Linked DNA regions of Saccharomyces cerevisiae S288C. Changing the gene in region 1 together with any one later gene gives a genetic interaction. Each region holds a gene or a part of one and is shown in the gene's direction. Other genes may lie near its edges. The genes, in order: SMP1, ELA1, TMS1 and NDI1.

Region 1 (6,638 bases):
TTTCCCTGAATTTCTTGGACTTTAGAACATGAAAGATTTTTCCGTTTGCGATTTTTATTGCGTCTGCTAGCAATCTTCTCTATAAGTGCACATATGTCTTCATTGGGGATTTGGGACCAATTCTGATTTTCTATATCGGTATTTTGATTCTCATTTGTTGGGAAATACTTCGTCTTTTGTAATGGGGCAGATTGCCTTCTAGTTTTATTTTTTTTATCTGCTATGTCTTCTAAAATTTTACAAATTCTGCTCGTACTGAGTTGAGACCAATCGTGCCCTTTCTCAACATGGACGTTTTCCTTCTTGAGACATGGGATAGTTTTCATTGATAGTTCCATTTTGTTTTCACTTGCGCTCGTTTTGGCATGTTGAATGGCATCCGCCAGCATTCTTGCTTTTGGGTAATAAGGACAAATATCCATTATATCCAAATCTTCCTTTTCCTCATAGCCTGTAAAATTATTAGGTTCGGATACTGTGTGCTCTATGTTGTTATTAAATGTTATTATTGGTCTTTTGTGGTTTCTTAATATTGTTCCACTATCGTATTGAAAGTTTGATTTTTCAGAAGCCAAAATAGCATTCAATACATTATTTTGGTACATGTCCCGAATTAGCTAACAAATTTCTTAGTATTTGTGTTACAACAATTAGAGATTTTGTTTTGTTTATTTACTTTCATCAATTCACGTTATTTTGCCGCCGACGGCTTTGAGACCGCACAAAGTTTTTTTTCACCAGAGCAATAAGCTGGGTCATTTAAACTATTCGCAAATCAAGGATTCAAAAGATCTTTTCTTAGATATATTTTCTTCGTGATTCGTCATTAAATAGAACATGAAATAAAAAAAATAAAAAATAAATATGCCTATACATTATGAATATATATTATGCTATAATTATTACTTCTCCTTTTTAACTTCAATTGATTGATCTTCTACGTATGGGCCAAATAGTTCAAGTGAATATCTTGTTGAGGGTTTGCGCCCTTTCCATATCAGTTCAGGGAAGACTTTCCATCTCCAGATGAACTGGTAATTGCAGCTGACGTTGAGCGTAATGACCCTTAAATGTTCCAAAGAAACAATGTAGAAATAAATCCCCATACCAGTTAATATATGCCACCATCCGTGTGGTTCAAGCAGTACACCAAGTGGTAAAGCCAAAATACTTCTTCTAACGTGCACCCAGAACGAACAATAGTGTATATCAAGTAGCCACGAAATGTAGCCAGATAAGAACAAAATTGCGCCGAGCGCCATTGAAGCCTTGAGATTTCTTTTGGCAAGTGGATCATGGACGTATCTGTACGTCAAACTTCCTGCAGTAGCAGCCACAACTACAATCTGTACGCCAAACAAAATTTGATGGATATCGACATTTTTGTAAATAACGTAGAGTATGCTTGCTGTTGTAACGGCCAGGCCGATAATTACGCCGATGAATATCTGTTCAAATAGAGGAACCTTCTTGTGATTATCTCCGTTAAGTAATGCCTCTTTGGCCTCGCATACTAAACTCCATGTCGGAATGCACATGGCGTATATCATTGGAAGTTCATCCAATAGTTGGAATCTATACTTCAGTGTCATATGAAATAGCCATGATCCTACTCCGACCAAACCGTACCCGAAGCCAATAAGTAAAAACCTTTTTTCTAATTTATTCTTGTAAGCAGAGTAAGTTGTGTAAATCGCTGACAGTATGAATACGCTGTTAGTTAAAGTGTTTGACCACTCGGCAATATAGGGAGAAACGACATAGTTCTCCTCACACCAGTCAATAGTGGAAGTTGTTTCTCCCCAAACGCCGGGGACAGAACTCTCTGGATAGTTCCAACGAAATATTCCCATCAATCTTCTATTTTCTTAAATAAAGATTTCTGCTTTTATTTACAAATTAATCTCTGTAAGTATCGGACCTTATAAAAACCCCTTACACAATAACTATATAGATGTATATAGGATATATAGATATATATATGCAAATATCTTTTTCCTATAAGCGATAAAAATAAAATGCTACCCGAATTCTATTTAGACATATATAACCGGAGACAGATATTTTTTATGTCATGGGGTAGAGTAGTGCGTTTGAAAGTATCAAACAAAAAGTTTCAGGGGCCGGATCTAATCGGCATAAATATTTTCCGATGTCTCGCGTTAAAAAACTTGCGTGATAATCCGTCCGCACTAGTGGGATCGAAAGAAGGGGCGTGGTCAGAAGGGTAACGTTATGTGAAACCCTTGCCTTTGAATCTTTCCTGCTATGCTACGTCGGCCGACACTTCCATTTGAAAAAAATATAAACGATGGTGTTGCCAAGTATTTTTTTTCGCCTTCGTTTAACGTCAGCATTACTAAAAAGGTTAATGGTTGGCGATACTAACTAAAAAGAATTTGTAGAAATGCCATGAAGATTTTCACGCTGTATACCATGATTCAGCAATACTTTTTTGATAATGGCGGTGTTTATAGTATAAAGAATTTTTATTCTGCAGTTCCGAAGGAGAAAATGAACATAATTCTTGTTTCACTTGATTGTGAGCTCCAAAAGCTTGCTCTTAAGCTGTCAAAGAAAACTAGTGGCACTCACACTACGCACTAGCTTTTACACCACATCGTTATTGTTTTCCATTAACGCTTACGTAAATTTCATCTATCATTCTACCTGTACCGTTCCCGATGATAGTGGCTTACAAAACGGCTTGAGGTACAGTTGGTTCGAACTTTTTGCATTATTGTTGCCTTCTTTTTTTAGTAACAAGCGGCGTCTTTGTTTCTTCTGCAAAAATAATCTCGCTCGAGTAATTGGAGGCTTGGCAAAACTTAAATCTCCACGCATACCCGGCTTCCTATGTTCGTGAAGGACTCAAAAACATGAACTATCCTTATCCATCTTTCTTTTGCCAAATTATTTTAGCCAATCTATATAACACTACATCATTCCTTTGAGTCTTTCTTTATCATTCATTCGAAGGGAGAAATATACGAGCCAAATTCAAAGACAGACTATTTTTTCGAGCAGGCCTATCTCATCAGAAAAAAATTTAATAAAGCTCTAGATAAGCAAACACAATTATTTTCAAAAAAATTTCTGCTAAATGGGTAGAAGAAAAATTGAAATTGAACCTATCAAAGATGATAGAAATCGTACAGTTACTTTCATAAAGCGAAAAGCAGGACTATTTAAAAAGGCTCATGAATTGTCAGTACTTTGCCAAGTAGACATTGCTGTCATTATTTTAGGATCCAATAATACATTCTACGAATACTCTTCTGTTGATATGAGTAACCTGCTTAATGTTCATCAAAACAACACTGATCTTCCTCATAATATCATAGAACCATCTGATTATGGTGACTATGTGAAAAAACCACGTGTTGTTCTGAATGAAAGGAAGCGCAGGCGAAGAAGAGCAACCGTGTTGCAACCAGCTTCCCATTCTGGGAGTTGTACAGTTTCGAGTCAAGATTCCTCCAGTGTACAAAACAATGGGAATTTAAGCGCTCCGTTGGCGTCAAATGACGCCGGGAACGCTGGTGTAAGTACACCATTGGTGCATTGCCACGGAGCAATATCACGTAGCGGATCCAATCATTCTGACTGTGCAAGAAATAGTGCAGATTATCAAATGTTGCAAGGCGGTTTAAATTCTGGTGGGAGTTTTCATGCTAATGATTATAAAGAAAGCGTAGACCAACAGCATGTTGCAAACGAGGCTATTCATAGGAATTTTATGAACAAGAGGATTAGGCCGGATACTCATTTACTACTTTCTGAATCTAACCACTCTAATTATCATAATTTTTACCCGTCGCCTTACGAGAATTTGCCAAAGCCTTCATTGCCTGCAAGTTTAGTGGGCAATATTCCATCCTTTCAATCGCAATTTGTACAGGTTATTCCGGCAAATAGTAACCCAATGGGAAAAGGATTTAATGGGACGGGTGACAGCGAGAGCTTTGAAGCAAAGCAAAAGATACACCCGACAGTTGCTATATCAAATACTTTGGAAGGTCCAGCTCCAGTGCAGGCGATGGTCCATCACCTGCACCAACTGAACAGCAATAGAGGAAAGCTCTCAGGGAAGCCATATTTAAAGCTAAATATTCCGAAGGCCACAAATGACGCTTGCCAGAGGTCGCCAGCAATGTATTCAGGAACCGCATCACCGAAAACGGATGTACAAGCCACTCCCAATCAAATGCTCGCCAGCAACATGTCCTCCCCTCTTTCTCGTTCAAAGTTTTTGGGATTCAAGAACAATGATATGGACGACTTATATCATAATGGCCGATGTGGCAGCACTTATGTAAATAACAAAACATTCTTTCTGAAACCGCCAATTGGAAGACCGCCTAAATTTCCGAAAAGCCCGTCTTCATCTATTGTGGTTTTTCCTTCCTCGGTAGCTAGTTCAACTTTGAAATCCACGAGTTCGACAAACTCTCCAGATTAATGAATCGCTTTCTAGCTACTTTTTACTACAAGAAAGCATTCGCTTAAAATTAAGAGTGTATGTTGGCGCATTTAGGCAAACGTCTTCTAAATTAGGGCTATAGACAATTATGTCGCTCGTACATTTTTCAGATGTAGTGACGCAAATTTCTAGCAATTTGCAGGTAGTGCTCCACGGCCCCCTTCCAATTTTTGTGCACTCAATCGATCAAAACAATAGAGACTGCCCTGTTAACTTCTCAACATAATTATGTAAAAAATTATCTCATTAAGCCAGATAGCAAATATATCACATATTGCATTGATTAATTTGAGAAAAATATACATGTATCTTTTCAGTTAATTTTATTAAAAATAAATTATTTCCTTACTTTTTTTTCTACAGTTTGCACCATTAACCTCTTTTCTTGCATCCATACATCTTTGAACTCCATACATCTTATTTTTTTGCTGTTTTTTTTCAGTGTCTCGGGCATACAGGCCGCTTATCTTCATGCCGGCCCATCATCCTAGGAAACTCTTTCGGTATGGGCCAAGGGCAGGCGAAAATCCTATGTGCGTGGAGCTGATACAATCTCGGCTGGCTTGGTTTGTAGGGCACGGTCAATGAATGCCTGATGGGAGAAAAATTCATCTTTATGAAAAGTGATCTTAATTTGAATAGTGTGCCCTTCAAAACATTTGGAAGTCATTAATTGAAACTATCCAGTGTGAATAGACGACTGAGCCATCATGAAGGTATGTAATATCACCCAAATCCTTAGAATTCTAATGAATCAGCACGCGCTAACCGGCTGTTTCTGACTGTTTGATAAACGTATACCCACAAATTAGTGCACTATAATAAAAATTCTCAAGAACAACGTTGTTTAAACGAGATAATTCCCTCTAATATACACGTACCGACACTTAGGAAAATATCTCGCTAAGTTCAAATTAAGGAATGAAAAAGGAATTTACGAAAAGGGTTTAGAAATATCAATGAAAATAAGAAAAACCTGTAACGGAAGAAAGGACAGCAGGGATTCGTTGGAATTTGTCGATATTGGCTTCGGACAACTTTACTAACAAATGGTATTATTTATAACAGTTGAACATTTCTTACCCAGTCAACGGGTCTCAAAAGACCTTCGAAATTGATGATGAACACCGTATTCGTGTTTTCTTCGACAAGAGAATCGGTCAAGAAGTCGATGGTGAAGCCGTTGGTGATGAATTCAAGGGCTACGTCTTCAAGATCTCTGGTGGTAACGACAAACAAGGTTTCCCAATGAAGCAAGGTGTTTTGTTGCCAACTAGAATCAAGTTGTTGTTGACCAAGAACGTTTCTTGTTACAGACCAAGACGTGATGGTGAAAGAAAGAGAAAGTCCGTCAGAGGTGCCATTGTTGGTCCAGATTTGGCTGTCTTGGCTTTGGTCATTGTCAAGAAGGGTGAACAAGAATTGGAAGGTCTAACTGACACTACTGTTCCAAAGAGATTGGGTCCAAAGAGAGCTAACAACATCAGAAAGTTCTTCGGTTTGTCCAAGGAAGATGACGTTCGTGATTTCGTCATCAGAAGAGAAGTCACCAAGGGTGAAAAGACTTACACCAAGGCTCCAAAGATCCAAAGATTGGTTACTCCTCAAAGATTGCAAAGAAAGAGACACCAAAGAGCTTTGAAGGTCAGAAACGCTCAAGCTCAAAGAGAAGCTGCTGCCGAATACGCTCAATTGTTGGCTAAGAGATTGTCTGAAAGAAAGGCTGAAAAGGCCGAAATCAGAAAGAGAAGAGCTTCTTCTTTGAAGGCTTAAGTATGTCTTGGACCTGCATAATTTTTATACTTTTTCCTTTTAGATATATGTACTTTTGGCTTAATTTAATATAATTAACTATAACTTCGATTTTATTCTTTGAAGGTCCAAATGCACGTAATTCATAAACTTATGATGCATTGTTCTATTTCTTGAAGTCCTTGGGATGAGTGATGAGAAAATTTTCTTGAAAGTTAAATAATATAATAAAATTCTAAAAGTTAAATTTTATAGCTAAACATAAACTATTTCTTAAAATTCTTTGGCAGTATATTTTCTTTGAAAAATGAGAAGATATAATATACCAATCAATGAAATTGAACTGCAGAGACCGAGCCCTGTAAAACACCATCCAATTCCCATTGCGTTACAGAGCTGTAAA
Region 2 (6,349 bases), on another chromosome or scaffold:
GGTGACGCAGCCTGGAATTTTTTTTTCAATTCTCGCCGAATAGGAGGATTGATGAGCTGCCACTATTGAATTTTTGAGGAAGAGTGGCTTCAGCATGTAGTTTTCCTTTCTACTAGGCCAGAAAAGCAACTATACAAAGACGAAAGCTTCCTTACTCGAGGTTGAAAAGAATAGCAAAAATCTTTCCTTTTCAAACAGCTCATTTGGAATTGTTTATAGCACTGAATTGAATCGAAGAGGAATAAAGATCCCCCGTACGAACTTCTTTATTTTTAGTTTTTCATTTTTTGTTATTAGTCATATTGTTTTAAGCTGCAAATTAAGTTGTACACCAAATGATGAATAACAACGGCAACCAAGTGTCGAATCTCTCCAATGCGCTCCGTCAAGTAAACATAGGAAACAGGAACAGTAATACAACCACCGATCAAAGTAATATAAATTTTGAATTTTCAACAGGTGTAAATAATAATAATAATAACAATAGCAGTAGTAATAACAATAATGTTCAAAACAATAACAGCGGCCGCAATGGTAGCCAAAATAATGATAACGAGAATAATATCAAGAATACCTTAGAACAACATCGACAACAACAACAGGCATTTTCGGATATGAGTCACGTGGAGTATTCCAGAATTACAAAATTTTTTCAAGAACAACCACTGGAGGGATATACCCTTTTCTCTCACAGGTCTGCGCCTAATGGATTCAAAGTTGCTATAGTACTAAGTGAACTTGGATTTCATTATAACACAATCTTCCTAGATTTCAATCTTGGCGAACATAGGGCCCCCGAATTTGTGTCTGTGAACCCTAATGCAAGAGTTCCAGCTTTAATCGATCATGGTATGGACAACTTGTCTATTTGGGAATCAGGGGCGATTTTATTACATTTGGTAAATAAATATTACAAAGAGACTGGTAATCCATTACTCTGGTCCGATGATTTAGCTGACCAATCACAAATCAACGCATGGTTGTTCTTCCAAACGTCAGGGCATGCGCCAATGATTGGACAAGCTTTACATTTCAGATACTTCCATTCACAAAAGATAGCAAGTGCTGTAGAAAGATATACGGATGAGGTTAGAAGAGTTTACGGTGTAGTGGAGATGGCCTTGGCTGAACGTAGAGAAGCGCTGGTGATGGAATTAGACACGGAAAATGCGGCTGCATACTCAGCTGGTACAACACCAATGTCACAAAGTCGTTTCTTTGATTATCCCGTATGGCTTGTAGGAGATAAATTAACTATAGCAGATTTGGCCTTTGTCCCATGGAATAATGTCGTGGATAGAATTGGCATTAATATCAAAATTGAATTTCCAGAAGTTTACAAATGGACGAAGCATATGATGAGAAGACCCGCGGTCATCAAGGCATTGCGTGGTGAATGAAGGCTGCTTTAAAAACAAGAAAGAAAGAAGAAGGAGGAAAAGAAGGTTATAAGGGTATGTATATAGGCAGACAAAAAGGAAAATTAAGTGCAAATATAAACAAAAATGTCATAGAAGTATATAATAGTTTTGAAATTTCTGTTGCTTCTATTTATTCTTTGTTACCCCAACCACAGAATTCCAAAATTTTGTTTTATGTAATAATTGAAATACTATAAATTTCTCAACTATATTCGGGGTGTTGTCACTGTATATCTGGCGCTTTCAATAAAGCTGGTACAATTGCGTATTTTTCTCGGCATTTGCCACGATGGGCTTAAGAAAGATCACAATAGAAAATTTCAAATATTTAATATTTGCGAAGAAGGGATTTGTTCAGTTATGACGATTAGATACATATGTAACTTACATGCAAACGGTTTTTGTTCATGGAAATACGTTCTAGTGAATGTATAAATCGATTGATGTCGAGATATGAAAAGTTTACAAACACTATGTGAAATCTCATTGATGAGAAATCATTCAAACATACAATCTGTGAGTAATGTCCCCTATCACTTATTAAAGAGGATACTGCAGAAAGTAAAAATACCACAACTATTAAAACTTGAGAAAAGCAACGTACTATTGATATTTGACGATGATGAACTATGGTTAGAATTTTTAAGGCAAGATTTCCCGACTAATGTACACGAACAATTTGTCTCTAAGAGAGACATTATTTGCAAATATTACTTTGATTTCGTTAAGGAAAACGATATAGAACTGTACCATTCGAATCAGGATTTATTGAAGTCTTGCGTGCGTCAATCAGTCGTCAAAGACATCCGAAACAACAAGTACCGAATACCATACAGAATGTTATACTCAAAGTACCAACAAGAAGTGGAAAAGAAACAAGAGGAAAGCGCAGAGAGATTAAGGCTGGAAATGCAGAAGTTGCAGCAAGAAAGAGAAAAAAAGCAAACCATAGTGGTTGACCACACTGTTTACTTCAAAAAGAGAAACACCAAGAAGACTACAAGGTTGCACAACGAACCCCATTCGCAATTATACATGAAATCGTTGAAAGATCACGAGTCCAGACTAAAGCATTTCAAAGACGGCGGATTCAACATTGCAAAAAGGCATGCGCAACGTGTGGCCTTTGGTGGCCAAGCGGGCGGACAATCGTCTTCCCCCAAGAAAGGCCCATTGTCCATCAAACCGGAGCCTGTTAAGGTAAATCGTCAAATGGATAATGTCACAGCAGAGAAGAAAGATGTTACGCAGCCCATCACGCCGGTGAAGAAGAGAAGATCCGAATCACCGTCAATCTTTCTCAATCGTAAAAAACCTGCGCTATTCAGGCCTACTCCGAAGACAAACGCTGCAGGTTCTCGACCCCATACAACAGCGATCACCAACGATCACCGTACTACTTCTCATCCTTATCCCCACAAAGATGTTGTAACTTCAATATCAAGTGTCACCGCAAATCCCGTAACAAAGGGCCACAAGAAGAAGAAATCCGGAATTTTCGTACGAAATGCCGGATCTGACGGAGATAGTTTTCCGCACGTGACCGCAACCGGCCCTACTACCCGTCCGTATATCTATGAGCCACGGAAATAGCAGTAACCCAACTCCGAAGGCCGTCACATCCCCTGCGATTTCCCACGGGTCCAGTCATTCCGCGGAGAAAGAAAGCAACCGGAAGCAACGGCATCCCTGCTTATAAGCGATTTTCGCGTTGCGCGTCATCTTTTTGTCTTCCGTCTTAGTAATTTTTATGATTTTTTTCATTCCACCCGACTCTATTTGAGTGCAAGCATGCGATATATCTCTCTATATATTGCCAGATCTTTATCGCAATAGGTTCATGCACTATATGCGCATCCCACTCTTGTACATGCACAATATTGTGCTCATTGTCTGAATATATATATATTTATATATATATATGTATGTATATATATCAGTTCTAGATAGACTAATACCACTTCTTCGTTAGAAAAATATTTCAATCCTTATTTTGTTTCTAACTGTTCCCTTCTCTCCATCCAACAAATAATACAAAACCACTTTATATAAAAAAAATTACAAAAGCAAAAAATGTTCAAGAGATTTAGCAAAAAGAAGGAGGCTCCAGAAGACCCAAAAAATTTGATTAATATTGATAAGCCTATCAAAGAACTTCCTGCTTCGATAGCTATTCCAAAAGAAAAACCACTTACAGGTGAGCAACAAAAAATGTATGACGAAGTGCTAAAACATTTCAGTAACCCTGACTTGAAGGTTTATACAAGTGAAAAAAATAAGTCGGAGGATGATCTTAAACCCTTAGAGGAAGAAGAAAAGGCATGGTTGACAAGAGAATGTTTTTTACGTTACCTAAGGGCTACTAAATGGGTGCTAAAAGACTGTATCGATAGAATCACCATGACTCTAGCGTGGAGAAGAGAATTCGGTATTAGTCATTTAGGTGAAGAGCATGGTGATAAAATAACTGCTGACTTGGTGGCCGTCGAGAACGAATCAGGTAAGCAGGTGATTTTGGGTTACGAAAACGATGCTAGACCTATCTTATATTTGAAACCGGGCAGACAAAATACAAAGACTTCTCACAGACAGGTACAGCACTTGGTCTTCATGTTGGAAAGAGTTATCGATTTTATGCCAGCTGGTCAAGACTCTCTAGCTTTGCTAATAGACTTTAAAGATTACCCTGATGTTCCTAAAGTACCTGGCAATAGTAAAATCCCACCTATTGGTGTAGGGAAAGAAGTGCTGCATATTCTACAAACTCATTATCCAGAAAGACTAGGAAAAGCACTTTTGACGAATATTCCTTGGTTAGCATGGACTTTCTTGAAGTTAATTCACCCTTTTATTGACCCACTGACCCGTGAAAAGCTAGTTTTTGATGAACCATTTGTTAAATATGTCCCTAAGAACGAACTAGATTCGTTGTATGGTGGTGATCTGAAATTCAAGTACAATCATGATGTTTATTGGCCAGCTCTGGTGGAAACCGCGCGTGAAAAAAGAGATCATTATTTTAAGAGGTTTCAAAGCTTCGGTGGTATTGTAGGTTTAAGTGAGGTTGATTTAAGAGGTACTCATGAAAAACTTCTTTACCCAGTAAAATCGGAAAGCAGTACCGTGTAAAGGCAAATTTAGATAGATAATGATAATGCACTATAATATATAATAAATAAAAGAGAATAAAAAGTTTAATCACGTTCCCGCTTCTTTTTCCTAACCATCAAAGAATGCAATCTAAAGAAGAAGAAGCGAATACCCTCTTTTAAATATATACGCGTCTATATGCACTGTAGATAAGCTGTTACATATCAAAAAGGTTTGGCACATTTGCGCTTTTCTGTAGCGCCTGTAACCGGTGAAGTCATCATTTGCCAGTCTGTAGCATACATCAATCCACCAGCACCATTAGCAGCTCTGGCGAACACGACCCCAAGGTCATTCCTTGCAGTGGTCAAATAGTAGTTGGTTCCGTCACCTAATGATAAAACTTGCGCCCTAACAATATCTCCCGGCTTGAAACATTCTATCACTTTCACACGATCTCTGTCTGTAGACCGTACATCCTGAGACCTGATTATACCTCTGAATGTCTCACCTAAATCTGATGATGCTTGAGAAACAGAGAACGTAGCTGCTCCAGAACCGCCACCAGCAGCGACTATTCCCGATCCATTACTGCCGATGCCACTATCAATTGGAGATGGTTTATCTTCCACAGCTAAAATTTCGACATTGGCTCGTTGCAACGAAAGCCTTGTCACCCTGGTCAGCACAATATCACCTTCCTTCGGTAGGTTATTGGCAAAATCATTATTAGCATATTTGTTGGTTTTACGACCCTTTTCTGTCCCAGGAAGCACTGAAACCAGAATATTTTTTACAGTTCTTCTTGTGACATCATTAGGTGATGCATCTACTGATTTTTCTTCCTCTGTAGATTGATCAGTGCCTTCACGCTCTTCTTCCTGATCAGTTTTTTTTTCTTCCTCACACCTCACTGTCCCAACTAGTGTAGCAGTTATAGCTTCTAAAGTTCGTCCGTTGTGTTCATATTGAATTAGTTTAGTTCCGGGACCGGGCACATAATTGAAAATTATATCTTCGCCATCTTTATTTTCCGTACCGTACTGTGGGCATATTAGTTTACCTGGATAAGCTATTTCTGGAAACTGAAAATTGCATGCCATTATAATACACTTATAGATTGAGGTATTCAATGCTCTGGAAAAAATCAAAGAATCTTTAATATACAAATGCGTAGTTAATCATGCCGTACCATAAGCTCATCATCAGTGAATTCTGGATCTTATTTTTCTTTCTTTTTTCAATATTTTTTGGAAATTTTTACTTCACGTGACGGAGACGGGTAATGCAGACGGTATTTTGAAATGATGCCGCAAATACAACACATAACACCCAAGATTCTTGCGATAAATTATAGGTTTATAAAAACTAGAATGTCTTGATATGTATGATTTGATTCATTTCCATTTCTCCCAGTTTTCTGCTCTAATAAAAATGTGTGTAACATCGCGAATCATCGTGTACTTCCATTGCGCTCTTTAACTCATTTAATTCCAATTTGATCATTTGAGCCAGTTGTGGAGTAAGCTGGTTACAAGTGGAAATTTCTGGATGTCTATCATATTCGAATTCTCCATAAGTGTCGTAAAGTATTATCTGGGACGAAAACCGGACACCCTGGTCATTATTACTGTTTACATACACCTCACCTAGACTTGTTAAGTCTGATTTTACGGGAGAATCAGGCGTCATGGAGTCAATAAAAGAAGTATTCATTCTTGGGGCTTTTAGTCCTTTAAAGGACATTGAAACAGGTCTATTGGGTTCGAATTCTGGTAAATATGCATTATTTCTTGGAGTAACTTCTATGGGCTGTTCTATGTGTTTGTTGAAATCTT
Region 3 (6,304 bases), on another chromosome or scaffold:
GGTCATGTGTAGCATTTTTTTTGCCGCAGTAGGTCTTGTGTCGCCTGTTTCCAGAGGATCCCTGCCAACTGTAATGTTTGTTCTTTATGCATTATTTGGATTTGTAGGATCCTACGCCTCAATGGGTGTCTACAAATTTTTTCGTGGACCCTATTGGAAGGCGAATATGATATTAACGCCAATATTACTTCCTGGAGCAATTTTTTTACTGATTGTAATAATGAACTTCTTTTTGTTATTTGCACATTCTTCAGGTGTCATCCCAGCGAGAAGCCTATTCTTTATCATTCTTCTATGGTTTTTAGTTTCTGTTCCGTTGTCGTTTGCGGGTTCAATTGTTGCTCATAAGCAGTGTAATTGGGATGAGCATCCAACTAAAACAAACCAAATCGCCAGACAGATTCCATATCAACCCTGGTACTTGAGAACAGCACAAGCAACCTTAATCGCTGGAATTTTCAGTTTCGGATCAATAGCGGTTGAGCTGTACTTCATTTACTCCAGTTTATGGTTCAACAAAATTTTTTATATGTTTGGATTTTTACTCTTTTCATTCTTATTGTTGACCTTGACAACCTCATTAGTTACCATCTTGATCACATATTACTCGTTATGTCTAGAAAACTGGCTATGGCAATGGAGAAGTTTTATTATTGGTGGTTTAGGATGTTCAATCTATACGTTCATCCACTCCATACTATTTACTAAGTTCAAGCTTGGTGGAGTTATTACTGTCGTGCTCTATCTCGGATATTCACTTATTATATCTGCATTATGTTGTGTCGTCACTGGAGCGATTGGTTTTTTTAGTAGTATGTTTTTTATTAGGAAGATATACTCTGCCATTAAAGTTGAGTGATTTCGTTATTCTCTCCACTAAAGTAAAAGAAGTGAATACGTTAGTTTTATTTTTTTTTTTTTTTTTAATTTTTTGAGAAGTGTTTTACTTCGCAATGCATTTATATCCTATATGTCCTGGCAAACTTTTTGATAAATTGGAATGCAAGTTTTAACGCGTTTTTATGTAGCACTAATACACTGTATTGAAGATTTTTTTTTCTTTCACAATTTGGAAACGATTATATTGGATATATATTAGAAGTTTTCCTCGAGGATATAAGAAATCCGCAAAAGGGAATCAACAATTCTATATAACAACATTATTCTCTCTCCGTTTATATTTTATATTAAATTCATTATCTTATTAAATTATCAATTCTTGCACTTCAGCTTCCATTAAATCCGATAATTGTTATGAAGTCTTCTAACAACTCATTCGACATTAATAATAAAGAATATTATTCGATATATTTATTTATTTTTATTCCGGCAATAATAAATCTGAAAACGAGTTACTCTTTCAAATGACATGATAGTTATCAAATCCAAATTCTTTAGGAGAGTGTGTAATTAGGTGAAATATTAATGGTTAACTTTCTGTTGTATTACGGGCTCGAGTAATACCGGAGTGTCTTGACAATCCTAATATAAACAGTCTTAGGGAAGTAACCAGTTGTCAAAACAGTTTATCAGATTAATTCACGGAATGTTACTTATCTTATATATTATATAAAATATGAATCATACTAAGTGGTGGAAGCGCGGAATCTCGGATCTAAACTAATTGTTCAAGCATTTATACGTTTGGGTAGTTCAGCTAGGGAAGGCCGTGTTTTATCTCATGTTGTTCGTTTTGTTATAAGGTTGTTTCATATGTGTTTTATGAACGTTTAGGATGACGTATTGTCATACTGACATATCTCATTTTGAGATACAACACTTTCGATCCAAATTGGTCTCTTGGCCCAGTTGGTTAAGGCACCGTGCTAATAACGCGGGGATCAGCGGTTCGATCCCGCTAGAGACCATTTTTATTTTTTCTCCTCTATTGTTAAAAATAGCTCTTTACTATCATAAACTTTTACATCAAAAGCTCAATAAGGCTAATTGTTGTGGAAAGACGCAGTTTGGTGAAGAGAACACTTCCTGTTTTTGTTTTCTACATATACATAAAGCCTATTGTAAGCGCTTCACTCCAGTTCTGAAGTAATAATCAAACCAATCAGGAGCAATATGAGGATTGTTATAAAACTCATCTCTTTCTATTCCTACAATGTTGCTCCCCTTATAGTGCAGAAGTATTTTCGCGCATGCAGAACCAGCCTGCCAGTAATTTTTAGGAAACTGGATTTTGGACGTATCCATTTTTAACTTGAATAAATTCCTTATTACTGTTTCATACGCCTCTTCAATGTTTACTATAATGATATTTTCTCTCAGTGGCCTTCTCAAGTCGATAGGAAGTGACTCTACAATATTTTTGACAAGATTTATTACCGGGGTTTCATCTACTTCACAATTTTTAGAGTTGTATTCTTCGTCAAAAAATATTGGCATGTAGAGACTGCCCGGGAGAGGAATTCTTGACTCAACCTGTCTTTTGCCTCGTTTTGAGTATTTTATGAACTGTTGCAAAGGTCTAAGGTCGAAAATAGGTACGCATGTAGTATAATTGGTACCTATATCTATAACTATGGCATTCCTTGTATTACAGGATAAGCAGTGCACAATGGCCCTGGGGACAAACGAAACGTGAGCGCAGTCAAATTCCTTAAACAAGATGCTACAAATAATTCTTTTCTCTACTACAGAAATGAAGATATCTTCTAGTATCAACACTTGTACTTCTCGATTTCCCAAGATGTTGCAAATTTGGAAGTAATGTTCAAATATTTTTTTCAATTCTTCCCTATTTTTTTCATTAATACTACCTGTTTTCCAGGCGATAATTTCTTGTGGACACGCATCAGCACTTCTTCCAATTTCGATTCTGTTAGCTCCCAAATAGACTATCACAATAGTATTCGACATTTCCTCATAGGGTTTCCTGGGTAGATTTTTTTTATCATTTCACAGTGTCGAATATTGTAGTATTTGTACCTCTTTTGTTTATGTCTCTCGGCTACAATAGAAGTTCCGACAATTAGATTCTAACAAAAAAGAGAACTGTTTTTGAGGTCTTTATGCCCCCAAAACGAAGTTTATAATCAAACAACAGATTTACTTCATATCAAAATACCCATCACAAAGTACAACAATCTACCATGGGTGCCGTAATTTCTTTGCCAGTTAGCATGGCGGGCTCATTCGTGGCGTCCTGTTTTGGAGGTTGCTGCTCAAACTTGGTGACTAAGACTGCATCTTCCCTAGGATCTTCTTCTTTAGGGACAAGACTTCTGTACGCCGTTTGGCTTTTACTTAACTCATTGATATCATGGGTGTCCTATTCTGCGAACAAATCAATCCTATGGCCAGGGAAGACATGTACTGGGACTGGGGAATGTGGATTTTTTACAGTTCATAGGTTGAATTTTGCATTGGGATGCTTACATTTGATATTGGCGCTTGTACTAACGGGCGTAAAGTCGACTAATGACGTAAGAGCAGCATTACAGAATTCGTGGTGGAGTTTAAAATTTATACTGTATTTATGTCTCATTGTTTTGTCATTTGTCATCCCCAATGACTTTTATATTTTCTTTTCCAAGTGGGTGTCAGTCCCTAGTGGAGCAATTTTCATCCTGGTTGGGCTTATATTATTAGTAGACTTCGCTCATGAGTGGGCTGAAACGTGTATTAGTCACGTTGAGTCAGAAGATGAAGATTCCTCATTCTGGCAACGATTTTTGGTTTTAGGGACAACTTCAATGTATACCGCATCGATTATCATGACTGTTGTTATGTATGTTATGTTTTGTCATCAACAATGTAACATGAATCAAACAGCGGTAACAGTCAATTTAATATTAACTGTTATAACGCTTGTCTTATCGGTGAATCCTAAGATCCAAGAGGCCAACCCTAAAAGTGGGCTGGCCCAAAGTAGTATGGTTTCTGTTTACTGTACTTATTTGACAATGAGTGCCATGTCTTCCGAACCGGATGACAAAATGTGTAATCCGTTGGTTAGATCTAGTGGAACCCGTAAGTTTAGTATCATTTTGGGCTCTTTATTTACTTTTATTGCGATTGCTTACACCACAACTAGAGCCGCTGCTAATAGTGCTTTTCAAGGCACCAATACTAATGGTGCTATATATCTCGGGAATGATATCGAGTACGAAGGACTAGGTGGACAGACAAGAAATCAGTTGAGGTATGAAGCTATTAAACAAGCTGTAGAAGAAGGATCTTTACCGGAAAGTGCCTTATATGATACCGCTTGGTTAGGGACATCATCTCCTACAGGCGCAATGGATAACCAAAATGATGATGAAAGGACTGGAACCAAGTACAATTACACTCTGTTCCACGTTATATTCTTTCTGGCAACCCAGTGGATTGCAATTTTACTAACAATAAACGTTACCCAGGATGATGTAGGTGATTTTATACCCGTAGGAAGAACATATTTTTATTCTTGGGTAAAAATAGTTAGTGCATGGATATGTTATGCCCTTTACGGTTGGACAGTGGTAGCCCCAGCGATTATGCCCGATAGATTTGATTACGAGAATTACTATTAAATAGACTAACACAAAAAGATTTTCTTATAATGTATGTAACTTTTTTTTAAGTAGCCCCCAGTAGAAACACTAATTTTACTATACTCATGCACTAGTTTCAAGAAGATGAGTAAACCTCCCTCAAAAAAAAATGGATCTTAATTATCTAATTGAGATATCGCTTCTCGAGGATTATTTTAACTATCCTCTATTTATTTGAAATGCCAATTACAGTTATTATCGATCGACCGTTTTCGAAGGATCTCTTTTCTTCTTTTAAAGGTAGAAAACATTCTCTCAACCTTCTTTATGCGATATTCGGAGTTTGCGCCGTGCTTCAAAGATATGGTAAAACAAAATCATTGTGGCTAAAGAAATGTCTGGTGAAAATATCAATAACAAAAGTCAGCATACAGTGATTGTAAAAGAAAGGGATTTGTCTTCGAAACATTTCGAAATATGGATTCTATCGTTAATGTTGTTGAAGACGATGTTAAGTACGCGCAGAGAGTGACTAGCTTCAGCTCACCACAAAATGCAAATGTCAAGGTCTTCACCATTCCCCGGCATTCCTTCACAGCGTTTAGACTGTCGTATGTTTCACCTACAGAGCTTTCAGCATGTTCACAGGTGACTTTGCTAGGTGGTATTCCAAAACAATGGTACGCTGATCAAAATAATCAAGTCTGGAAACTTCTAACTAAAATTTCACTTCGGAAGGTTAGGAAGCAATCTGACATGCTAAGAAGATATGGCTATGGAACAATTTACAAAAAGCGTGTAGGGAAGATCCCAACTGCATTGTACTTAAGAAAGCACTTTACATGGTCCTATGAAGATAATACATCAATTCACAACGGTCATCGTCTTAAAGAAGCGGAAATGGAGATGAAGAGAACTAGGTCAAGTCCTGTGCAGAAAAGTGAATATAAATTAAGTCTACCCAGAAGGTGTAGGAGTTCTTCCGATCAAAACTTCATGCGACAAGAGCTTTTGAAAGAAAAAAAATCAGAGCTTTCTAGAAACAATAGTTTGCCTCTCATCGATACGGCGCAAGCCGTGGATATCCACCCAGTTTTACATGAAGAAGATCAAGAAAATACAAATAAAAGGAATAAATCACTCCTTTCGAATTTGAAACGAAAAGATCTAGGGGAATCAAAAAGCATATCCAGAAAAGATTATTCGCATTTTGATAGAATACCGAGCCCCTCTTCAGCCAGAAGTGTTGGAGAAACAGACTTTAATTATAATAGAGAACCTTCTGAAGATACTTTGAGATATCCCGACAGTATAATTGAAGTAACAAATCGGACAAGCCCCGCCCCAAATAGTATTCTAAGTAGATCAGGACAATTTGTTAACTCGAATGACCTAAGTGATGGCTTTTCAACATCTAATACTATCAATAACGTGGGATTAAATGCAAATGAAAAGATTTTTTTTAATGCTCTACAAAGTATGGAAAAGGAAAACTTGATGCTGTGGAAAACATCCCAGAAATATGGGACTTATCTCGATGAAAGACGTAAAAGTGCGGATGCCTTTCAAAAAAGAGAAAGAGGTTCATGCGTGGACATTGGTAAGTTGCATTCGAGTCATCTTCCGTTTATTAATATCCTACCTCCATGGCCTACCGAACTGACGGAGGAAGAGAGAATTATACACGATAGGCTAGCCTCTAAACATTCTCATCATATAAGAAAACATGTTCACAATGCTCGAAACAAAACTAGCTGCAAAATCAAAGATAGTGTTGGAACTTTCTTAGGTATGACAAATTCACTAACAAATAAAGC
Region 4 (6,405 bases), on another chromosome or scaffold:
CCTTGATAATATAAACGAACGACGTGAATGAGCCAACTACACCTCTTCAGTCTTTGGGATATCTTCTCTGGATGCTTTTCACGTAACCTGAAACAAGGAAAAAGGGCAGGTTTGTTGTGGTGTTTCTATGCTTGATTTTATTTTTTTTTTTTTAGCCCGTTGAGGCGCAACGAAAGGGGAAGGGTGACCAAAAATAGCACGTAAAAGCTGTGAATAAGGTGAAAGTGACGCTAAATTGAAAGAAAAATCCCAGTGACCATCGAAGCGTTGATTACTGTCTTTCAAACACAAATGTAGGTTGTTTATATATATTGTTTCTTTATTTTAAGCTATGCACTTTCTCCCCCCCAAAAAACAAGCGTATTTGGCACATTAGGGAAATGTGATCACTAGCATATTCTCCCTCGAAAGGTTGGGAGTGTTTGGGCATTTCTTGTGCGCACGGCATCCTCAGATATCCGATTATTTTTACGTTGTTATTTCCTTCAAAAGCATTCAGAGGCTCTTTCTGACGCGTGTCCTGATTATGATCACCCTCGATATAAAATATGTAGTCTAATAATCCACACCATGTATTGGCCCAGTTTGAGAGTCCCGGTTCGCCGTGGCTTCCGTTAGCATTTTCAGGATGCACTTTACCGTAGCCAATCCCATACAAAGATACGCCTTTCACATGTAGTGAATTATGCAACGCAACTAATTGATTTACCAGAGCCTTTTCTTCCTTTGTGGCTGTAAAGCTCTCTGGTTTTGGGTTTTGTGGTTGATCTGAATGGCCTTCGCCCCTAGACTTTTCATCACACTCTTCATCATCCTGGTCACTTTCTTCTCCATTCCTTTTTTTTGAATACCGATACGCTAGTGAGCATTCCACCATAGCTCTTATTGGGCCTTTTAATATCAGTGGTCTTTTCGTTATGGCCAAGTACGGTGGCTCTTCAGGTTCGGTATTGAAATCACCCATCAGTAGGCTATGCCAGCCATTATATTTGGAACATGCTTTAATTTCCTGGATCTTTTGTAAAACCAAGTAAGATTGCCTTAATCTTTCAAATACCCCAAAGGGATGCCAAAATAGGTGTGTATTTGCGACGATAATTCCTCTTGATGATGAATCTGTTATACCCTTGAAATATAGCGATATAATAAGGGCAATATTTTTAGTTCTTGTTCTTGCTGAAATGACATTTCCCGCCAATATATTATCGTAGTCCAGCATCCAATCATTATCTAACTGGAATTTTTTATTGTTCCATGCAACTAGTAGTCCATGAGTTTTCCCTTCATGCCTTTTGAAAATCACATCAAACCCTAACTTATGGAAATTCTCCTGCCAGAAGTTGAGTTCATTGTAATCGACCTCCTGCAACGATACTACATCAGGCCTGTACTTTTTCAATTCGTGGACCAAAACTTTTGATCTCTTATGCCACTTTAACGCTGGTCCACTTTCTGGGAAAAAATCTCTCCTAATCAAGGTTTGTGCTAGAGTATTATAGGTCATTATTTTAACGTCCAATGAATCTTGGGTGACTTGTATGGTCGCTGGCGTAAGACCTTTCGAATTATCATGGTTGATAGGGAGGAATGGTCTTTCAATGAATTGTAAGTCAGGCGTTGGGAAGTCAGGGTCCTTCCCTTGGGATATTAGAGAGTTCCTACGTACCTGTCTCTTCTGAGCACGTTCTTCTCTGATTTTCTTGATTTGATCCACACTTAATTGGTCTCTGTGTATTTTTTGATGTGCTGGGCCATCTTCACTAGGTGAAACGAGGCCTGAGGTGGAGGAGGACTCCTTCTGTGAGGGGGATATTTTGCCTTCTACTTGGCTATCCATATTGAAATTAATGTAGGAGACAAAACAAAAGAAAAAACTGTTTAATGCTGTAAATATTAAATTTTCAGTGAGCTAACTCCACGATAGTAAGTAGTCTGCTTCAACCATGTGTTAGTTTGGTATAACTATTGTGATTGAATATTGGTATTATAGGTCATCCTTTTTTTCTGTGCAACGAAGGGGTGGCTGAGCATTTTATATATAATGTCGGGAGAGGAATGCAGGACTTTTAACATATCAAATGAATAGTATCTGAGTTGTTCACATATTTGGTACGTATATTATTTATTATTCTGCAACTTGTTTACTGCATGATAATATTGAAATAAAGTGAAGAGAAGACGGCACAGAGAAATTACAATGGCGCAAACGTAAGGCAAAAATGGCACAACGAATTCTGAATTCGATTGCTGGATCACTTTTCAAAGATATTGTGTTCGGTTGTGACAAAGGCATCATTAAAATAATTATATGTCTTTTGTCATAAATTTAGATCGTTAATAGGCTTTTTTTTGTATTTTTAATTCACATGTTAAATGTTTCGTTTTGGCAACTAATAATAAACTACATTAAGTAAAATGCAAAACTTCAAAGTGCGGAAAAATGTATTGGTATATAAATACTATAGACAGAATACAGAGAATCCGTATCATTTCAAAGGTTCATTACTTAGTATCTCCGCAGGGAGGATTCTGTTGTTCGCACTTCTCTGCTGAAAGCTATCCTCCTCCTCATCTTCCTCATCTTCATCTGAAATGGCGATGCTAAAAGAATCTACCATTCGAAATATATCAGATCTATCCATTGCCTTTCCATCAAAACTCAATTCAAAGCTTTCGTTGGCATTTGTGGAAACACTGGCCCCGGCTCTCTGCTTCGCATTGGAATTAGGGAGATTCTTTACGGGCTTGCTGTTACCTTGCAGCTGCTTTTGTTGCCGTAACGTTGATGTCAGCTGCACTCCGCATAATTCGTCTAGTGATTTTGAGATCCGTGTCTTACTATTTGTGGACAATTGAATAGGTTGCAAGAAGTGATAGTTTTTCTCAAACTTCAACGAAATTAGCAGGATTATGATTTTTTTGGATATATCGTCTATCGTTTCGTGCACTGGAGATGGTAATTTATATGTGGTAACGACGGACCTAGGTAAGATGCACTTCTTGATGTTGAAATTTGTTTTTGATTTCGTGGGAGAATTCGTCAACTTAGGTGCCACACTAGTGCTACTTCTTGTACCATACAAATCAATTGGCTTGGTAAAATACCGTTTCTTTGTACACGTTCTGGAAGGAAAAATAATTTCATTTATGCTGCTCACTTCCTTCGTTTGATTGAATTTAAGAGATTTAGAATTTAAATGCGACACCGACTGATGATGCGGATGGGAATTTACATTGGTGTTTGCAGCGCCCATGGTATTTGTATATCTAGATGGCCTGTTATTATTACTGCTACCGCCCCCGGTATAATGGTCTTCATTAACTCCTTTATTAACCTGCGAAATACTGTTAAACCTTGGTCTCAGGTTTTTTGTGGGTGACTCTGGATAATAGAAAAACTGCTGGTTGGAATCGAAAGTCGCTTTTTGTTGGAAGCTCAGGACTGGCTGCTGATTCAAATTAAACTGCGTAGGAGGCAGGACCAGCCCACCGCTGTTATTGATGTAAGATGATTTGTTATTGAGCGTCCTTCTTGGCGACACTGATGGACTTGGGCTCATTGCTACCTACTTTTTTTCTTACTGACCTAAGGCTGCAGGTGCAAGAAAAGAGTAAAAGAATGTTAAAATACGTTTTGAAAGGTCTCTGTTTTCATGTACAATTGAGGGATAAAAAAATCTTTTCTTTCTTTCAATGCGGATGATTGACACTTTCTTATTTTGTGTTTTTATTTATGTTCTTTCCTAATCTGGAAAGCATATTAAAGACCGGCGCTACCCGGTTAAGTAATCATACACGTGAAAAGCACGTGAACAACAAAGCACTTTAAAACTCATATACTACGCATTTAAAGAATGCTAAAACGGCAATTGCCACTGGGCACCATTTAAAAGGTCAATAATGAATCTGTGACCTTTCTTTGCTATAGCATCACTACAACTATGTGTTGCTTGTCGCTAGCAACGAACCTATTATTCCTTCGCTTTATTGTCGAAGACCACAAAATACTCCAAAGCAATAGAATGTCTCTTTCCGCAAATAACTTACTCAGGGAAACAATACGAATATGTGCAGATTGCCGATCATTGCTGAAATGCCTCAAAAATATGCATTTTCTCATGACCTATTCATTCGGACCAATCATATGAAGGCATTGAACGTCCGGGTAACCACAATAAGAGTGCTCCCCCTTAGCGCTCTTGGTTATTGCCGGTATTTGCAACGTCGACAGGGTATATATAAGATGTATAGGGCATAGTGGGGAAGGAGTTTTAACTACCAATTGAGGAGTTTCAGGTAGGGTGTCAGTTTCATCACATCATCGAATTACACGTTTACCCAAGAGAAGAAACTAAAAACCACTATGCTATCGAAGAATTTGTATAGTAACAAGAGGTTGCTCACCTCGACGAATACGCTAGTCAGATTCGCTTCCACCAGATCCACAGGGGTGGAAAACTCCGGAGCAGGTCCTACATCTTTTAAGACCATGAAAGTCATTGACCCTCAGCACAGCGACAAACCAAACGTGCTGATACTGGGTTCGGGGTGGGGAGCTATTTCGTTTTTAAAGCACATTGACACCAAGAAGTACAACGTTTCCATCATCTCTCCTAGAAGCTATTTCTTATTTACGCCTTTGTTACCTTCTGCACCAGTTGGGACAGTAGACGAAAAGTCAATTATTGAGCCCATCGTTAATTTTGCTCTCAAGAAAAAGGGGAACGTTACCTACTATGAGGCAGAAGCCACCTCTATCAATCCCGACAGGAATACCGTTACCATAAAATCATTATCTGCCGTTAGCCAGCTATACCAACCTGAAAACCATCTAGGGCTGCATCAAGCAGAACCTGCTGAAATTAAGTACGATTATTTAATCAGTGCTGTAGGTGCGGAACCTAACACATTTGGTATTCCTGGGGTCACTGATTACGGTCATTTCCTGAAGGAAATTCCCAACTCTTTGGAAATAAGAAGAACTTTTGCCGCCAATCTAGAGAAGGCTAACTTATTGCCAAAGGGTGATCCCGAAAGAAGAAGACTACTGTCCATTGTCGTGGTTGGTGGTGGGCCTACTGGTGTAGAGGCCGCTGGTGAACTACAGGATTATGTTCACCAGGACCTGAGAAAGTTTCTCCCTGCATTGGCCGAAGAAGTCCAAATTCACTTGGTCGAAGCTCTGCCCATCGTTTTGAATATGTTTGAGAAAAAGCTTTCATCATACGCGCAATCACATTTAGAAAACACTTCGATCAAAGTACATCTGAGAACGGCTGTCGCCAAAGTTGAAGAAAAGCAATTGTTGGCAAAGACCAAACACGAAGACGGTAAAATAACCGAAGAAACTATTCCATACGGTACTTTGATTTGGGCCACGGGTAACAAGGCAAGACCGGTAATCACTGACCTTTTCAAGAAAATTCCTGAGCAAAACTCGTCCAAGAGAGGATTGGCAGTGAATGACTTTTTGCAGGTGAAAGGCAGCAACAACATTTTCGCCATTGGTGACAATGCATTTGCTGGGTTGCCACCAACCGCCCAAGTAGCGCACCAAGAGGCCGAATATTTGGCCAAGAATTTTGATAAAATGGCTCAAATACCAAATTTCCAAAAGAATCTATCTTCAAGAAAGGATAAAATTGATCTCTTGTTCGAGGAGAACAACTTTAAACCTTTCAAATACAACGATTTAGGTGCCTTAGCATACCTGGGATCCGAAAGGGCCATTGCAACCATACGTTCCGGTAAGAGAACATTTTACACCGGTGGTGGCTTAATGACCTTCTACTTATGGAGAATTTTGTACTTGTCCATGATTCTATCTGCAAGATCGAGATTAAAGGTCTTTTTCGACTGGATTAAATTAGCATTTTTCAAAAGAGACTTTTTTAAAGGATTATAGATGAAATTAACATGCCCTTTTCTGGAAAAAGGAAAAAAGGTGGTAGGCACCGTTTTTTCCTGAGTTTGCATCCTTTTTTTTCTAAAACCCTCTAAACAAAACCTAACACACACACACACGCACAAAAAAATGCACATGATGTTTTATTATTTATATATTCCCACTTTTTTCGAAATGATGCTTGACTAATGCACAAGCAAAAAACCCCGACAAGATTGGTTGATCACTTCAGCTTTTTCCTCCCATTGTCCTATATATATATCTGTGATTATTTATTTCTTCCTCTTATGTTTCTCTATTTATTTTATACGCCAAATCCCATTTGTATATACGTAACGAAAGCTTTATAATTCTTATGCCCCGCAAACACTCAATTGCCGAATGTTTCGTCTACTCACCTCAGTCATTGGAAAAACTCTTTGGCTTTTTTGATGTTTTCCAATACTAATTCTTGTGGAATATTCATATCTTTCAACACTATAAAACACACCATATTGGAC

Evidence for each region.
Region 2: mutations in SMP1 (region 1) and ELA1 together harm fitness more than expected from each alone (negative genetic interaction), as found in Saccharomyces cerevisiae (2 studies listed by BioGRID).
Region 3: mutations in SMP1 (region 1) and TMS1 together harm fitness more than expected from each alone (negative genetic interaction), as found in Saccharomyces cerevisiae (2 studies listed by BioGRID).
Region 4: of SMP1 (region 1) and NDI1, changing one suppresses a phenotype caused by changing the other (phenotypic suppression), as found in Saccharomyces cerevisiae (one study listed by BioGRID).

Annotation. Positions count from the first base shown.
Region 1 is NC_001134.8:591,330-597,967, reverse strand, and holds SMP1 (Smp1p), read left to right. Parts: upstream 1-3,103; coding exon 3,104-4,462; downstream 4,463-6,638. Other genes in the region: YBR184W (uncharacterized protein), read right to left, coding at 1-605; YPC1 (phytoceramidase), read right to left, coding at 903-1,853; YBR182C-A (uncharacterized protein), read left to right, coding at 2,413-2,607; 40S ribosomal protein eS6 RPS6B, read left to right, coding at 5,194-5,199, 5,552-6,256; DTR1 (Dtr1p), read right to left, coding at 6,509-6,638. UniProt on the Saccharomyces cerevisiae protein: Transcription factor that controls part of the HOG1-mediated osmostress responses. Binds to the DNA sequence 5'-ACTACTA[TA](4)TAG-3'. Does not appear to function in the MPK1 pathway.
Region 2 is NC_001146.8:214,188-220,536, reverse strand, and holds ELA1 (elongin A), read left to right. Parts: upstream 1-1,874; coding exon 1,875-3,014; downstream 3,015-6,349. Other genes in the region: URE2 (glutathione peroxidase), read left to right, coding at 336-1,400; PDR16 (phosphatidylinositol transporter), read left to right, coding at 3,495-4,550; exosome non-catalytic core subunit CSL4, read right to left, coding at 4,736-5,614; BNI4 (Bni4p), read right to left, coding at 5,937-6,349.
Region 3 is NC_001136.10:663,571-669,874, reverse strand, and holds TMS1 (Tms1p), read left to right. Parts: upstream 1-3,104; coding exon 3,105-4,526; downstream 4,527-6,304. Other genes in the region: TMN2 (Tmn2p), read left to right, coding at 1-859; ARP10 (Arp10p), read right to left, coding at 2,017-2,871; SPO71 (Spo71p), read left to right, coding at 4,965-6,304.
Region 4 is NC_001145.3:27,766-34,170, reverse strand, and holds NDI1 (NADH-ubiquinone reductase (H(+)-translocating) NDI1), read left to right. Parts: upstream 1-4,363; coding exon 4,364-5,905; downstream 5,906-6,405. Other genes in the region: NGL3 (3'-5' poly(A) RNA exonuclease), read right to left, coding at 320-1,837; YML119W (uncharacterized protein), read right to left, coding at 2,487-3,560; Rag GTPase GTR1, read right to left, coding at 6,309-6,405.